Pelodiscus sinensis: one gene and its partner. The protein of the gene in region 1 interacts with the protein of each later gene in a biochemical or structural test. Links are inferred from orthologs where the notes say so. Each region holds a gene or a part of one and is shown on either strand. Other genes may lie near its edges.

Region 1 (9,045 bases):
ATGTCTGATCTTTTACTAAGCTTTGGTGGGACAGCTAACCCAACAAGGGGATTTTTAAAACCAGACCTCTCCAAAGGGAACATGTCACTTCGCGATTCTTTCGCAGACCTGTTGTCTGTTACAACTTTCTCCCACGGCTTTGCACGGTCTCGAGCAGATAAGAACAATGCTTTAAATTAGAACGTACGCACACGTCACAACGAGGGCCGCTCTATGTAACGGGTAGAAAAGTGGGGATGTTGTTGCTGGTTGGTACTTTTCTTTAAAGATTTCTTTTCTCGAGGACGGGAAAATCTGTCATGTCTTTAGCCCCATTGTAAATCTAAACGATGCTTTTATTGTTTAGTTTCTCGTGTCCACCGCTGTGGATATTCCTTTGGTTAGCGTTATGGTGTTACTGTCTGAAGGCTATAAAAAGCAGCTACCCTGGTGCGCGTATATTTGCTATGGAAATTGCCTAATTCTAGAACTAGAGGAAAGCCCTACATCTCCTATCTCAGTCTATAGTTCACTAATCATTGCCTTGTGCGTAGGGTAGAATTTATCTTTCCCTGAGGACCTTTCATCTTTATTTCTCGCTAAAGACCAGATTCTGCTCCATTTACCTACCTCGAATAGCACTTGACTCCACATGTAAATGTCAGTGAAACCTTTTCTAATTATTTCTCAGCTGAAGAAGTGGGTTGCACCCACGAAAGCTCATGATACTGTTTATATATTGTTGTTAGTCTCTAAGGCGCGACAGATCATCGTTGGGTTTTTTCAGGGTTTTTATTTTATTTTTATTTTTTTTGTTACAGACTAACACGGCTACTCCTCTAAGCCATTTGTAAAGTAGATTCCTACTCCCATGCGAGTCTTGCTCTACATTGCTTTCTTTTTTTTGTTTGTTAATAGCAACACTTGTTGCACACAGTTTACTGCAGTTTTTTTTAAAGGAAGAAATTGGATTATGAATAGTTTTATCTGGTTTGTTAGTGAAATTTGCTGGTAGATTGTAGAAGATTCTTAATTTTCACTCCACAGTACACCATGTGTCATATTGTCTATCTATCTCTCAGCTCTGGATATTCTAGATTTCATTTATATGTAGTCCAAAGTCTAAGCCTGGCAAATGTTGAATATTCTTATAATATGAATCCCAAACTATTGGTCTCGTTTGTAAGTTTTTCTTCAATAAGGTTTTATTAGCTTAATTCTAGATTTTATGCAGTAAAATATATTCCCTTTGCCAGTAAGCAAACTCTTCCAATCGGGGGCTTTAATTCTTAATGTAGCAGAATAATGTCCAAGATCAGAAGTGCATCCTTTTCTCTGTGAATTTTAGCTTCTCTTTGGCTAACCACAGAAAATCCTCAACGTCTGATTTGGGACATCCTCAAATCAAGGAAAAAGTTCCATCCTTTATCCAAGATATATGTTTGTAAACTCCCAGAGAATAAATTTCCCTAGCTGGAAACAAAGCACCCTCTGTACCCCAAATTATGCTTTCTTTTATTGTGTCTGTTATGACTAGAAACACAAAAAGAACAAAACAACGGACATAAAGGGGGCGGGGAGTCACAAGTCTGGTCTCTCTCTTTCCTACTAAAAACTGATATCAAACAACAAAACCAGCAACAACAAACCTTCAAGAACCAAGTAAGGCAGAAACCATCAAATTCCTTTCAAAATCATCCGGACAGAAAGGTGACTTGCTCCTTCATGGACAATTTAGAACTACAATTTCACCTATGCATTTATTTCTGGAAATTATTGCCTGCTTTGCAATAAAATATGTTGCCAAAATATCAACTAAATATGAAGTGCAGAATGAAATCTTTCTTTCTTTCTTTCTTTCTTTCTTTCTTTCTTTCTTTCTTTCAAATTAATTTACACTTAAAATACATTTTACCACCGTGGAAGTAGTCCTATGGCGAATTCACGCTTAACAGTCTTCAGGAGAAATAAGAATAATAGCAATTCACACTACATTTGCAGAGCCCCGAACACATTATAATTGATTTTTTGTAATAGGGGAGAAAACAGTACTGTTATCATTCATAAATAATTGCCTCTGTTCCTAATAGCTCTAATTTTCACTGCCCATTTGATGTGCTGCAGGTTTAATATAGAGCATTTACTAATCCAATTAAAAGTGCACCTGGCCTGGAAGGGCTCTGTAATTAGCAGGAGTATTTTTAGCTATTTCCACTAGAAAACCGTGAAATCCTCTCTGCTGGGCTAAAAGACTCTAATATGGGGGGCTAGGCACTCATGTCTAATCATTTTGCTTGGAATTTTAACAGTTCCCAAGCAGGAGAAGATGAGGCACAATTTCGGCTTTTGTGATATTGATACCCACGAGCCGGACGGAGTCTGCAAATTCAGGCAAAACTCCCAGGGCAAGTGGCTTTTGAAATCATTTTCACGCTTCGTAGAGTTGATTCTGTCCCTTTGGAGTCAACGAGCATTTTGCTAGTGTTGTGATTGGGAAGCAGGATAGAACCCGGCGTCCATAACAGGTCGGGAAGGGCCTGATCCCGGCCCCATTCAAACCATGGAGCACTGCCATGGATTTCGGTGGCGGCAGGATCGGGCCCCGAAGCAATGCAACCAAGTAATTTCCTTTCCCCAAAGCCAACGGCGGTGTGTGATAAGAGCGTGCGGGAGGCTCCGCGTTTTATTTCCATCATACTATTTCTGAAGGGAAAATACTACCAGGGAGGAACTACAGCGAGTAAAGAGACAGCCCGGACGTGCCCCTGAAATGCTTCATTGCCTTTACTTCGCTGGAGTGGAGCGTCTTGTTAGTCCTCGTTTCCTTCCCTTTCCTAAGTTTGGGTTGGGGGGGGCGGCGCATCCCCGAGAACCCGTTTAATGGCATGCCCTGAAAGAAGCATCTAAGAAAGACGAGTGCATTTCCCGTAGAGTGCATTTCCCCATGCAGGGTACAGGAACATTGGGTCTGTTTCCTGCTATGGGGAAATCCATAGGCCTGGCTCTGAGGTGCAATAGGCTCTGAGGTCTGTAACACGCGCCCCCTCGAAACTCCCCCTATTTCAAGAAAAAAAATCTGTTGGCTGGAACACACGGGCCGCGTGCAGGCTTGGGGCTGTATTGCTCGCCGGAGATCGCTTGGTAAGCCTGTGGGCCTTAAAGGGGGGGGAGTAGTTTTCCAGTTGCCAGGTCCAACTCCAGCCAGCCTCTTTGCTTTATGTAAGCGTTGGGCTCAGGCGCATGTAAACCGAGCCGTGCCACTGCGGAGCGACGGGCTAATGGTTCTGGTCCAGAGGCCCAATTTACTGCAGTTGGCACAGCCCCCCCCACAAAACAACTGGCTTCCTGGGTGGGAAAAGCTCCATAATGGGGGCCTGGCTAGGTAGGAAAGATGAGGAGAGGGTTTTTTATCCTGAAGTGGCTGGGGTGGGGCGGGGGTCCAGAGCCCACTGTTGTTTGCGGTGGCTGTAGTCGGCCACAAACCAGGAAAGGCAGGGAGTGTTGGAGGAACAGGGATGATGTCAGCTATGGGGAGAGGGACCCTCCAGAGGTGGGGTAGCAACGGGTTTGGTCAAGTAACCCCCTAAGTCAATCCCTTGGGCACCCTCATCTGGCACACAGACAGGTGGTGAGTTCAGCTAGTTTCCTACATGGACGCTCAAGCATGGGCGGGTTGTATGAGGGCGAGCAAAGGGAAGTTAACCCTTCTGGGGGGTAATCCCACTGGCTTCAATTGGTGCCAAATGGACCCCTGATCATTGTAGATTTACCGAAGCAGCAATGACTGTCAGCAAATGCATTCTCCCGCCCCCAAGACGGCCTGGGATTCGACCTCTCTCCTGCTACCAGCTGAAGAGCTATCCGGAGCCACCGCTAAGTCCACATACACACTCGCAGGGTAGGGTCAAAAGAAAAACGTGTGTGTGTGTGTGGTGGGGGGGGGGGGGGGAATGAAACAATGTAGTTCAGACATTTCACACCTATCATTGCAGCGTAGCGACCCCCCCTTCTTTTTTAGAATATATGTCTTACACTGCAGACTTAACTTGCAGATTCAGGTGCTAAAATCACTGCTCTGTACTTCATCAGCAATGTGACTATCATATCCGCATGCACTTTCCGGTGGCACGTCTCTGCAATGTACAATTGCTCGGGAGGTCAATATGTTGAAAGCCTGGATATTATGAAATATTGTAGTCTCTTTACTACTGAACAGCTTAGTCCGCATGCACACACTTTTTTAGCTTTAGCTTTTTTTTTTTCCAAGCACGATTCAACGTTTAAAATAAAACAACATATTTCCCCCATATCCATTTTAAGAATCTAAAATTAAATGTCAAATCACGTGGCCAAATTAAACTGTAGCTTTCCTAGAAAGTTTCCAAAAGTTTCAGTGTTAAAACATTTTAATGTTATCTTATGCATTCAACATATGACCATGCATAAGTACTGCAATGTAGGGGGAAATATAAATAGCTATGAAAAAGCAAAGTAATCCAGTTTTTTACATACAGCCTCAATTTGTCCTCTCAGTATTTTAGGTAGAAATAAACAATGAAATACTTCGATAGCAGAAGATATTACTTTTTTTTATTCCGCAAACTTAACCTGCTTTTTAAAAAATATTTTCTTATCGGCTCTATTCCCAAATTTCAGACGGAGTCCAGAGGGACTTAACAATTTTTAAATGGTGCGTTTTAAAAGTGATCTCGTTTATTTTATTTCTGATATGCAGGGTCTGAGAGTGCGGAATCAACAGCCTGGAACCTGGTAAACAACTAGGAGCCAGATAACTAATCGTGATGGCATTTGCGTGACTCTAGTTTAAATTACTGTCTATTTGTTAATTATGAGAGCATCGAGGCGGGGTTCTTTCTTTACATCTTCCACGCTGAACTACGTTCATTTTGCTGTCTAAAACTCTTTCTGCGGTGCCCTTTTGTTTTCACTGAGCAAAGTCTGAGACCTGTGGCTTCTTCATGGTTTATTTTATTTTGCAGGCTGATGCAGCTGATGAGTGATACATTTTTAAACTAACATTAATCCCCAAAGAGAACGGAATCAGCAACAGAAACATTCCCAAAATCGTAAAGGGAAAGGGGGAACTTTAAGCCTAGAACTCATTGTTCCCTTTATTTCAAAGGGGGGGAAACCTGAACGATTCTCATCCTTTTGATTGATTAAGGTCTTGAATAACTTGAGGCTGGAGAGTGACAGTTACTGAATAGACTATTGCAAATAAAGAGCACTGTGCAAAGCCGGGCTGGCACTTCAGAGTGCAAAGGAGGCGAGTTTGCTGGCACTTACCAAGTTATAAATAAAAGGACATGCACAATAGTACCTTCTTTAAGGACAGACAGTCTTTACAACACTCCTGGCGTCATATCCTGCTGTGGTCACTTCAGCTCCTAGTCAGACTTTACTTCTTTTATTTTTCCAGCAGTTTAGTTTGAATACTACAATAAATTCCTGGGAACAAATGCTTGCTAGCAAGACTTACTTTAACACACACAAATATATAACGTAGGGCCACATCTTGCCATCCGTTTTTTAAAGCAGAAATTCCCAATGGGAACAATGGAGACTTGGGCTTAAAAACCAGATAGCGCCGTTCGCTCCATAGACACCCCCCCCCCCATTGCTACTGATTTCAGTGGAGGGAGGGAGAGAGGGGACAGTTTTATTCCTCCCTTCACACATCCTCTGAGAAGATGTGCTGGAAAGAGGCAGACAAAGAACTGTACCAATAGACACACCACTTCCCCTTTCATTTTTCGCAGGCTGTTTGACCAGGACCACATACAGCTCTGTATTTCTCTAATCCCCCCAGGAAAGAAAAGGTGACCAGAGAGACCGACTTCAAGAAATGCAAGTGTCTGGTTGCTTCCTTATTGTAATCTCCTTCAAGTGGCATGGTGCCAAGACAGTTGTAAAAGGGATGAACAATTTCCCCAGTGAAGGCTGCTTTCTCCCCTGCTTCTGCATTTTCTCCTGCCCAGCCATTCTATGAAAGAACACTTTATCAAGAGAAGAGGCAATGCCTGGGTCACACTCCTAGTTTGAGGCCTCGATTGTAATGATGAGAAGAGAAAGTTGAAGATTTCACCCAATCAGCTCCTGTCTTCTCCAGACGGGACAGTCTCCCGGCTGGCCAATCGCAGCTCAGAGATCCTGCTGAAGCTTTGGGGAAAGAACTAATAAATACTCCAGAGCAGAGTTCCTTTCACTCTGTATCAACAACAGGAAGAAATCATTCCTGCCCCCTCCCCCTTTTCATATGAAAGTGCGTTCATCTTCCCACAGGGGCCAGCAGCCGTCTCAGCGCCTTCCCGCCACTTGTATGCAAGTTTCCCCTCCTCGCCCCAAACTTTGCTTTCCTTTCTTTCCCCTTGTCAGTCTCTCTCCCCTTTGCTTTGGGATATCACGTCTTGTTGACAAAAGGAGAGCAAGTCGCTTCCCCCCGCCCCGGCTACCCCCTCCCTTTTTTCCAGGACTTTTCCACTGGGATCTATTGCCAGAGCTGATCTCTCGTTTATCAGCATTTACCTGGATATAATATTCAAGTAACGCTGCGTACAACATGACAACTCTAGCTGGAGCTGTCCCAAGAATGATGCGACCAGCTCCCGGGCAGAACTACCCTCGCAGCGGATTTCCATTAGAAGGTAGGAAGGCTGTCTAGATGCATGATGCTTTTTTTTAACTCTCTATGCATGTGTGTGTTGCTGAGAAACTTTTTGTCACCCAACGCTGTGCAGTAGTTACTTAGATTAAATCATAGATTAGAACTGAACTGAAACTGCACACGGTTAGAGCAAGAAAAAACCCTCCTCCTAACAACTTGGAAGAGTGCTCAGAGAAACTCCATTTCACTATCTACACACCAATAAACGTGCATTGTTTGCATTAACATTCTCCACATAAGCGATGCACGGATTCTGCGTTGAAGACAACACTGTAAATTAGAGCGCCGGAATAAATTTACGGGGAGGGAAGCAGAACCTGTTGATAGGGGTTCTGTCTTCTTAATTTGGGATCCGATCCCGCATACCTTACTCAGAGAAAACGCCCACGGATACCAATGGACAGTGAGCCTGAACAAGGTTTGCGATATTCGGTTCTAAATCGCTTCGGATCCTCAGCGAGTTGGGGGACGGGGATGCTTGAGAGCATTGAAACGGGCTTTTAGACACCAGCCCACTTCCCGTGTCCTCCTGGAGTAGGCTGTCTCTCTCACGTTTTTGTTTTTGATTAAAGTTTCTCTGGTTTGTGTGAAAACGGTGAAAGGAGCGCTGAGGGTGAAATGAAAAGAGAATGAAACAAGAACCTAATAATTTTAGAGTTGCGGAAATTTGCAAACGCGTAAAATGTTATAATAACAAGAAGCACATCGGAATTCCGTAGTCCAAATCCTTTAAAAGATTCCTCTGGGAGTTTTATGATTTCCCCCTTTTCACTTCTGCTAGTAGCGGTTAATTCAAGTAGGTAGTACAAGTCTTCCCAGTGGTAAATGATGGAGAGTGCAACAGGTGAACAATTTACGCTTGTTTTCTCCTTCAGTCTGTTTTACAGACAGACAGATTAGATTAGATTAGATTAGATTAGATTAGATTAGATTAGATGAATGGAGTCACATATCCCAGAAATTGTAAGGGCGCTCAATTCCCGCCCTAACAGGAAGGACCCCGTGGTAACTGTGTAACTAGCCTGAGAATACAATGTCATCTGGCTCCTGAAGTTGCATCTGGAATTAGTCGGGTTTAACGTTTCCATTCTCTGAAGGCGCGCTCTGTTGATGAATCTGAAACATTATTTAACCGGTGGGGGCGAAAATGACACTCAGCTGTCAGCTACTGCTTCTAGCTCGCCTCCCAAAGCTTCTAACCATCCCAGAACTGTCCAGCCAGGCAACCTGGCACTAACCTGGTGCAGGGATGGAGCGGATGAACTTGCGTATGTTTGGGTGTATGTGGCTGGGTGACTGACGAAAAGTCGCGGCTGCCTGTGAAACACACACATCAGTAACTCCGCTTCCCTTTCTTTCTAGTGTCCACTCCTTTAGGCCAAGGCAGAGTCAACCAGCTCGGTGGAGTTTTTATCAATGGCAGGCCTTTGCCCAACCACATCCGACACAAGATCGTGGAGATGGCCCATCACGGGATCCGGCCCTGTGTCATCTCTCGCCAGCTGCGCGTGTCCCACGGCTGCGTCTCCAAAATCCTGTGCAGGTACCAGGAGACTGGCTCCATCCGGCCGGGGGCCATCGGGGGCAGCAAACCCAAGGTGAGGAGATCAGGTGCAGTGGCTCTGCGTTTAGGTCCCTGCCCTGCCAGGTGTAAGCTACTTCGATTTCAGCGAGAACGGAGGGCGCTCAGAACCTTGAAAGATGGGGGGAACGGGAGAGAGACCACTGTGCTTTTGCGGTGATTGGGAAAGGATGCACATAGGAGCGTTATTGGGGCTAGTAAACTTGACACAAGCCTGGTCCTGGCTAAGGGTTTGCAGGTGGCAGCATCTGGGGAGTCAGTGTACTGTATTTAATATGAGACAAAATGCAGCCAAAGGCTGCATAATTGTCTGTGCCCATGTAAACACCTTAGTAATCAACACACCTGTCCATATGCGTGTGCAGGGACACACACACACACACTCTCTCTCTCTCTTGTATGTAACCCCCAACCTGTTTCTGTAACTCCCTAAAATACTTAAGCGTTTAGTTTTCAAAATACCAGAAACTAATCAAAGCCTGATCCTGCAAGCTCTTATTCCCCTGAATGGCCCCTGCATAGGCTACCCCCCCCCCCCAAAAAAAAACCTGTAGGAGCCGGTTAAGGGTGGAGCATTTCCAGGGTGGCTGGTCCAGGTTGAGGAAGTTGGTCTCGCCATTGAGTCAGGATCCGAGAGCTGGAGAATTAACAGGATCGGGGCCTATATTCTGTTTTTTTTTTAGCATGTTGCTGTATCCTTATCTAGCACTGTAGCTAGCTCCTGTCATAGCTGTCTTCCCAACTTACACATACATGTACCCTAAGACTCAGGAATAGCCATGTTAAAACTCTGCGAGTT
Region 2 (8,126 bases), on another chromosome or scaffold:
CAAGACAGCCCTGCCCTGCCTTGCAGTCTGGCAGTTGCTCTCTCTGCTCCGCCTGGCCCTGTCTCCTCTCTCCTGTTTGGGTCTGTGGCAAGCTGGACGCTTTTAAAAAGCTTTGTGTGTGTGTGTGTGTGTGTGCGTGTGTGTGTTAATCACATGATTGTCATTCACCTGTATCTCAAACAAAGACAGCGCACTGTTAAAAGCCCAAACAAGAAAGCAGGCAAGGGAAGGAGGGGGGTGTAGAGGGAAACTGAAGGGGTTGTTGAGAGAGAGAGAGAACCCTTATCAAACTCCCAATTCATGGGTCTCCCTTTCCCTCAGCACACTGGCGTTATTGTTTGGCTATTGTGTGTGTGTGTTTTCCAGTGTCTGTTCCCCCCACTCTGACGCTGTTTTATTGTATGGAAAGATTTCACTGTGAGCTCCTCCCATTTTCCCATGCAGTCCCAGGACAATACCAGTCCTGTGCCCCTGAGAAGGGATATGGCACAAAAACAGCCGCTGTCATACTTACCCGGATTGCTGCTGGAGTGAAGCAGCTCAGGTATTTGTGGTGCATATATGATCACATGGCACAAGCTTGCTCTGGAACTTGAAGGAGAGGTTGGTTAAGAAGAAGTGCAGCCCTTATGCACCCAGAGCTTTCTTTGAAACAGCATCCCCAGACTTCTTGCTCTTCTTTCCCTCACCTCCTTGCTGCAAGGAGACTTCTTTTCCATCCCCCTACTTCAGACACACTCTTCCTCCTTCATGGGTCACATCCCAATAGAACTCTTATTCTTCCTGTCCTAGTCACCCACCAGATAGACACTTCAACTACCATGGAGTTGTCCCAGGGATGAATTTGTCTCTTGGTATCTCATCCATTTACTACTGCATTGTAACTACTCAGACCACTGAGCCTGGAGCCTGCCTTCAGACCTTCCTTTTGGACTTGTAGATGGCTCACCTATTCTTCTAGTCTTGATCCTTAATGCTTGGCTAAAAACAACAATATGGCCCCTATTACTATAGTATCCGAGTGCATCAGTCTTAATATATTCATCCACACAATACTTCTGTGAGGCATGGAAGTGCCATAATCCTCATTTGCAGATGGGAAATTGAGGCATGGAGCAACTTAGTCACTTACCCAAGGTTACACTGGAAGTCTGTGACACAGCAGGGTTCCCTGAGTCCCAGGCCAGTGGACTAACGGCTGGGCTACGATCCCTAGACTAAAACAAGTTTGAGACCCAGAAATCTTAGCTTTACAGAGATAATGAAAAAACATCATTTAACTTGGAAACGGGGATGGAAACCTTAAAGAGATTGCTGCCCGGGTACCTATTGGCTATGGTACTCTATGCAGAACCCAGGGGATCCTTATCCTTACAAAGATCAGTGCTGAAATTTACCAGATGTGATAGGAGATGTCTTGGCCATACACTATGTCCACACAGGAGCTCAAAAGTGTCATTTCCATCCTGAACAGAAAACCACGCTAGCTCTGATCAAGCTAGAGTGCTAAAACTAGAAGCGTTGCTGCAGCAGTGTAAGAAGTCAGAGGGACTAGTCAATCAAATAGGTATGTATGGTCTCGGAAGGTATCATATATGGGGCTGACAGCCCATCCTGCTACTCACACTGTATCAGCTATGCTTCTATTCTTTGTACGATAGCTTAATGAGAGTTAGAGTGGCTATCTCTGCTCCAGTTGGAAATTACACCTTGCAGCTGCCAAACCCGTTCATCTGAAGATAAAAAAGTGTCACCCACAATGATTCCTTGCAGAGAGATGGGTGCTGGTCTTCTCCCACTCTGCATCCTCTCATCTCAGTTAGAGAAATGATGCCACACCTTCAGCCACCCTGATACTTCCCACCATGCTGCCTTGATGCAATAGGAAAAGTTGGCAGGGCAGGAAATTAGGCTGAAATACTTGTGCTGCTCTCCAGTCTTTGAGGTACTTTGGGGGAGGGGAGAGGGAATCTGAAACGCAGAAGTGAAGGAAAACCAAAACACAAAAGATTTGGTCTCTTTGTCCCAGCACTGGGAAGGGTCAGTGTGTGCTCCCCACCCGCAAGTCCCTAGGGACACATAAGCATTGAAGAGGTGGGATCTCCAATCCCATCATCTCCCCTAGATTTAAGTGGGGTTCTCTTAGAGCAGGAGCTTCAATCCTCGAGTGCCTTATTCCCTACAGCTTTGCTACCAGGTCCTTGTAATCCCATTCTTGGGGGGAAAAAAAATCTCTTCCCCATTCTCTCTGTCTCCTGGGGTCAGCAGGATCCTGCACCTGGAGGGATGGGAAACAAATGCCCCATCTTATTGTATCCTGCTTTGCCCTTCCCCCATCCCAGGTTGGTATTAACTGCAGACAGGGGAACAATTAGGCCAGTGTTTCTCAGCCGTGGCTACCTCCCCATGGGACCAGGAGACAATCCCCTCCTCCTCCCTCAGGCTGTTCCTCTTCTCCATGGAGATTCCTGGATCCCTCACACAGGCTCTTGTCAGCCTAATGATGAACCATACTGACTAAAGAAGAGGTGCTCAGTTCAGCAAAGTCTGTGTGATACAGCAACACTGCACCTAGGGTGCCTTGATGATTATTATTGCTCTTGGGAAGAGGCCACCTGCCCCGGTTCTTTTTCCTTTAGTGGGGCAGTTTTAGCAGGTCATGAAAATCCCAATGAAGAGAAGATAAAAATGCCAAAAAATTCTTGTAAGACCAATGGGACTTCTCCTCACAGCCCACCAGAATGTCTGCAGGGAATACACATGTAGAGTGTCTTGCCAATAGGGGAGCGCACCCGTGTGAAAATGCCTGGGTCTCGCCTCACCAGCACCTGCACCATTTTAATCTAGGAATCAGGGCCTGAGATTTCTCCCCTGGGATCTCAACTGGGAAGTGTGTATATGAGGGGAAGGGGGGCTTACACACCTCACCTTCCCAGAGAAGATGGGACAGTACTAGGAAAGGTGCCATAAGTCCTCGTGTTACTTAGGTAGGAGAGAATCACCAGATTCTTGGCTTGGGCTTTTTTCACACAGACAGACAAACAGTAGTGGAGGAGAGGAGAGAGAAAGAGTTAAAATCAGCCTCCTGGTGGGGAGTTATTTGGTGCCACACCCCACCCAGAGAGCTGCCCTTTGGAGTATCTGAATACTACACACATGCCAAGTACTTGCTGTCAGTGAACCTGGCTTCATTAAGCTTTCAACATAGACTTCTTCTTTGGGCTCTAAAGCAGCTGTCCTTGGTGCCACTCTGGTTCTGGCCCTCACCACGTTGGATATTGTAGCTCAAATGCTCACCACCTGTCAGTGGTATTATTTCCCTGTCTCTTCGTGTGGCCATTATTTACTCAGTCATTCCATCACTGGGTCTTCTAGTGAGCCAAGCTCTGCTCCGGAGGTTCATAATGTCCTTAGAACTCCTTTGATGGAATTCTGTCCATGTCTCACCACAACTCGGCCTTTCTTCACACTGTAATTCCTGGCCCAGCACTGAAACACGTCCACGCTGACACACTATTCAGACTCCATGCCTAACGTTCTGGGCTGGGCTGGTTGGTACCACCAGACGGTATGGAAAGGCTGGTTCCAAGTCTTGAAATCTTTGCAGAGGGAATCCTGAATGGATACGTCACTGGGTTTTCAGCCACATGGGTGAGACAGAAAGTGATATTAGGAATCCAAAGAACAAAGTATTCTGGGAGGTTAATAGGAGAGAAAACAAAATGTGTAATGGAAAATATACTAATCCACGCTACCATGTATATCTTATGTGATCCAATGCACACGTGGGGGAGCGGGGAGGGTCAGATAATGAGAGTCAGAGAGTTCTTTCTGCAACTCCTGAGAATCCCCCTTCCTCACCACCATCCTTGTGTTGACAAGTCATAGAAGTGGTCCAGTCCTGCTTCCTATGTGACCAGAACCTGGGGTGTCTGCCACAAAACACTCCTAACACCGTATTGGCATGTAAGTGCTGGGTCAGTCCCATCTTAGGGGCAAAGGAGCACAAGTGAGGGAGTCAAACCCATGTCTTCTGCATGGTCACAAAGTATTAATCCCCCAAACCTTGTCATGTATCTAGAACACATCACCCCCAGGAAGCTCCTGGGTTATTCCCAGCCCTCACTAGCCTTATAGAATAAAAAACCAGGAGTGAGCATTTTGAATCTGGGCCTCCTTTATAGGACAGCAATAACCCACATTATACCAGACCTGTCCTCTGCAGTGCACACAGGTCCTGCTGGTCCTTGGGCAGCTGTGACTAGAACCTACCACTCCATGCTAACTCCTAGGTCACCAGGCCTGGCCCCTAGAAAAAAACCTGTTGGCTGAGGGCAAGAGAGACCAGGCAAGGAACTTAAACCCAGTCTTCTTAGATAACAGAACAGACCCCCTCACTATCCATGGCATAAACCACATCCTATTTTAATTCCCCAGGAGGGGGAAAAAATAAAATAAAAGTAGACTGCAGCGTTCCTGGAGAAGCCTGCACTCAAGAAAGCGAGGAGCATGCATATGCTGAGTTGGAGATTGGGGGGGGGGCTGTTAAGGTTCCCTCCCTGCCTGCATCAAATCAATGTATTCCAGTTATAAAGAGTGCTTAGCTCCACCTTCTGCCCTTCCCTCCCCCAGTGCTAAGCAGCAAGCCAGTCAGAGAGACATCCAGCCAGAGGATTAGTAAAAACCAAGTCTCCCTCTAGGAATGGCACTCGTCTGAGAGTCTCCTCCACGCAGGGCTCCTGTTCACTGCCAGCACTCTGAGAGAACAGAGGGGCTATTGGGATACAAATTACAGCCCTCTCAGGATTTGCCAGGCAGACCAGCCAACGTAAGTTTTCCTACCTGAACTCACTCACATGCTCACTCTCTTTTTCTACCTTCTATTACTTTTTCAGTTTTTTCTACAGGAAAAATCCTTGCCTGCCTCACTAGGGGAGCGGGCAGCTAATAACCCTACTCCCTATTGGATCCATTTGCTACTAAAGCAGGGGAGACAAATTTTTCTATCCACTTTTTTTTGGGGGGGGACTTTATTTTTTGAGCATTTCCTTCTTAAGGTGGAGAGACTGGTGCATGGTGGCAGAGATGTTTGGTGGTGGCCGCAGAGAGCAAGAGAGAGAGATGGGGTGGGGGAGATGTGTGAAACTGGCAAATTAAAGACTTGGCTTTGCCAGAGAGGCTTAAAAAGAAATATATACCTGTATATAAAGTGTTAGCGTTTCCACTCACAGACTTTCTCAGTCCGCATCAGCTACCTAACCCGGTAATTCAGGGGTGCGCTTGGGATTTGCCTCTAACTCAGCCATTCTCACTAAACTTTCTCCTGCCATTCTGAGACCTCTTCATTTTGATTTATTAATACAGAAGCCACTGGTTTCCCCTCCCTCCCCCCCATCTCTGTTCCTGGTCAGACTTTCAATATAGGTTTTAAATAGAAAGTGTCATCACCAAGGGCCAAATTTTGGGGGGCCCTATGGAGGATTATTCTTAGAGAATGGGGTGTATTTTGCCTTGATCTTTCCTTTTCCACTCTATGCCACCAATGTGCTCAGCTAGCAGCAGGCACCTCCATATGCCCACATTAAACTCCAGAAAAGAGCACAGATCGGGAGCTTCCAATTAATCAGGATCCCCGCCCCCACTCGATCATGGGTTTCATGGGTCCTGTGAGCTGCACGTATGGCAGCGCCTTTGATTTGCTTGTATCAAGTGGTTCCCATCCTGTGGCCAGTACTGTGAGAGGTTCAAATCTTTTTAGTTTGGGTGTTTGGTTTTTCTTTTTTTTTTCCTTTTTCTTTTTTTTTCCTTTCCAGTGGGAAGACGGGATATTGAGACAGGAGAGAGAGCAAGGGCAAAAGACATAATGACAGATGACCAAGACCTTTCAGAGGTAGAAATGAGCCCAGTGGGTTCTGAAGAACATCACTGCCTCTCACCGGGACCTTCCATGACATCAGATACCACCTCTCATCTTACCAGCTCTGGGAGCGGAGAGATGGGAAAGGTCAAGAAGGAGCAGCAAGACTCAGAGACGGACGACGATAAGTTCCCCGTGTGCATCCGGGAGGCAGTGAGCCAGGTGCTGAGTGGTTACGACTGGACCCTGGTGCCCATGCCTGTGCGGGTCAATGGGAGCAACAAAAGCAAACCCCACGTCAAACGGCCCATGAATGCCTTCATGGTGTGGGCACAGGCTGCCCGCCGGAAACTGGCTGACCAGTATCCTCACCTCCACAATGCAGAGCTCAGTAAGACTCTCGGGAAGCTCTGGAGGTAAGGAGGGCAGAAGGGTGAGGGCAAATGCAATCAGAGAGAGGCTGCATGTCAAGGTGAATGCTGGGAACAGAATGAGATTAAAAGGGCATCTATTAAATTCCCAACACGGGGGAAGATCACAGGGGTAAGGGAAAAGTACAGGAAAGCAAAGAACCAGCAATGATTTTTAGCATCAGCTATTTGGCGAGCTTCCTCTGCAAAGCTCTGCCCATGCTGCTCAGTCTTGACCTGCAGCCCCCACCTGGCTATACCACTCTCCCCCAGCATACCTCATTCTGGCCTGTCGAACCCCTTGTGACTCCAGTCCTAGGCCTCTCCTGAGGCTCAGGTACCTGAGTGTGTGTGTGTGTGTGTGTGTGTGTGTGTGTGAGAGAGAGAGAGAGAGAGAGAGAGAGAGAGAGAGAGAGAGAGAGAGAGAGAGAGAGAGGAGAAATCACCGTCTACAAGGATTGACTAGGCTGACTCCCTCCAACCTCTTTACACTCATGATTTCCTAAGGGCAATTGGAACAAGGTCTGGGAGGGCATGTCTACACAGCAGGGTTATTTCGGAATAATGGATGTTATTCTGAAATAACGTAGTGTGCGTCTACTCAGCAAGCCCGTTATTTCAAAATAAATTCAAAATAACGGGCTTCTTACTCCGACTTCTGTAAACCTCATGGTAGGAGTAAGAGAAGTCGGTGGAAGAGTGTTCTATTTCGAAATAAGCGCTATGTAGACACGCCCAAATTCAAAATAAGCTATTTTGACTTACGCTACCTGGAGATAACAGACTGGAAGGTCTTAACACCCAGAGCGCTATCTAGTGGGTTGGACTCTTGTTTATGACAAAGTCAAGAGAGAGCAAAGTAGCCAGGCAGTGATACCCAACCACACATCCCACCCAAAGAATGCTTTCTCTGATAGCCACTCACAGACTCAGCTAGCTGCTGGTTCTAGATTCCGCCAAGATGTCAATTTAAAATTAGCAACACATGGATTGCACAAGAGGGGCAGGAATGGGCTATCCCAGCAGAAAGTGGTGAAAACTAGAGAACAGTGAGGGATGGTGGAGAGAAGGGGCAGTTAGAAAAAGACTCCCACCGATGTACTGAGTATGCCTTGCCATTCACAGCTTTTTATGGCTGAACATTACTGTTTGTGTCTTATCAGACTGAAGGGGCTGCAACTCTGCCCCTGTGTGCAGGCCTGTGGCATGCAGTAAATAAGGAATAACAGTAACTCAGTAGCCATTCCTGTAGCGAGTTGGCACAGGCTGACACAAGCTTCCCACTCGCACTTTACACACTTACATGCTCATCCCTTGTACCCACACTACCCTTCAGTTTGTGAAAGCCATTTTAATTGTGGGTCCTTTCCCTGTCCTCCCTGCCCCCAGGATCCTTACTTAAGTCATCCCCTCTGGGACTGATAGGTTCTGCCAAGAGATGAGGCTGGAGGGACCACATATCACTCATGTGACACAAGGCATGATGGTTTCCATGAATGACTCCAGCAAATGATTATAAACACCCCACTCTCACCACGATTGTCCAAGATACATCCCGTCCCTCACCATCATTTCTCTGCCTGGTGCCTCCCATCCCAAATCAAGACCCCATCAGCTTCATGTGAATGGCCCTGGAATTCCACAGAGATAGAATAGGCCCCCTTTCATACCCTGCCCTTCCCTGGCACTGCCCTTGACAGGAGATGCTCACCTGCTGAATGGGGCAGGAGATGTCTCCTGAGAACAGCAGCAGCGAGACCAGACATTTCTCCAGAATAGAAGCAAACTCATGACCATCCCATTGCCACTTGTGGCTCAATTCTCACACTGATGTCCATCAGCTCCACCTGTGTGGGAGC

Evidence for each region.
Region 2: the proteins of PAX3 (region 1) and SOX10 form a complex in vitro, tested with the Homo sapiens proteins (2 studies listed by BioGRID and IntAct). The link is inferred for Pelodiscus sinensis from reciprocal best matches to the Homo sapiens genes PAX3 and SOX10.

Annotation. Positions count from the first base shown.
Region 1 is NC_134720.1:15,726,986-15,736,030, reverse strand, and holds the start of PAX3 (paired box protein Pax-3), read left to right. Parts: upstream 1-5,810; 5' UTR 5,811-6,559; coding exon 6,560-6,644; intron 6,645-8,026; coding exon 8,027-8,262; intron 8,263-9,045. UniProt on the Homo sapiens protein: Transcription factor that may regulate cell proliferation, migration and apoptosis. Involved in neural development and myogenesis. Transcriptional activator of MITF, acting synergistically with SOX10.
Region 2 is NC_134711.1:92,113,239-92,121,364, forward strand, and holds the start of SOX10 (transcription factor SOX-10), read left to right. Parts: upstream 1-4,639; 5' UTR 4,640-4,828; intron 4,829-5,813; 5' UTR 5,814-5,863; coding exon 5,864-6,273; intron 6,274-8,126. UniProt on the Homo sapiens protein: Transcription factor that plays a central role in developing and mature glia.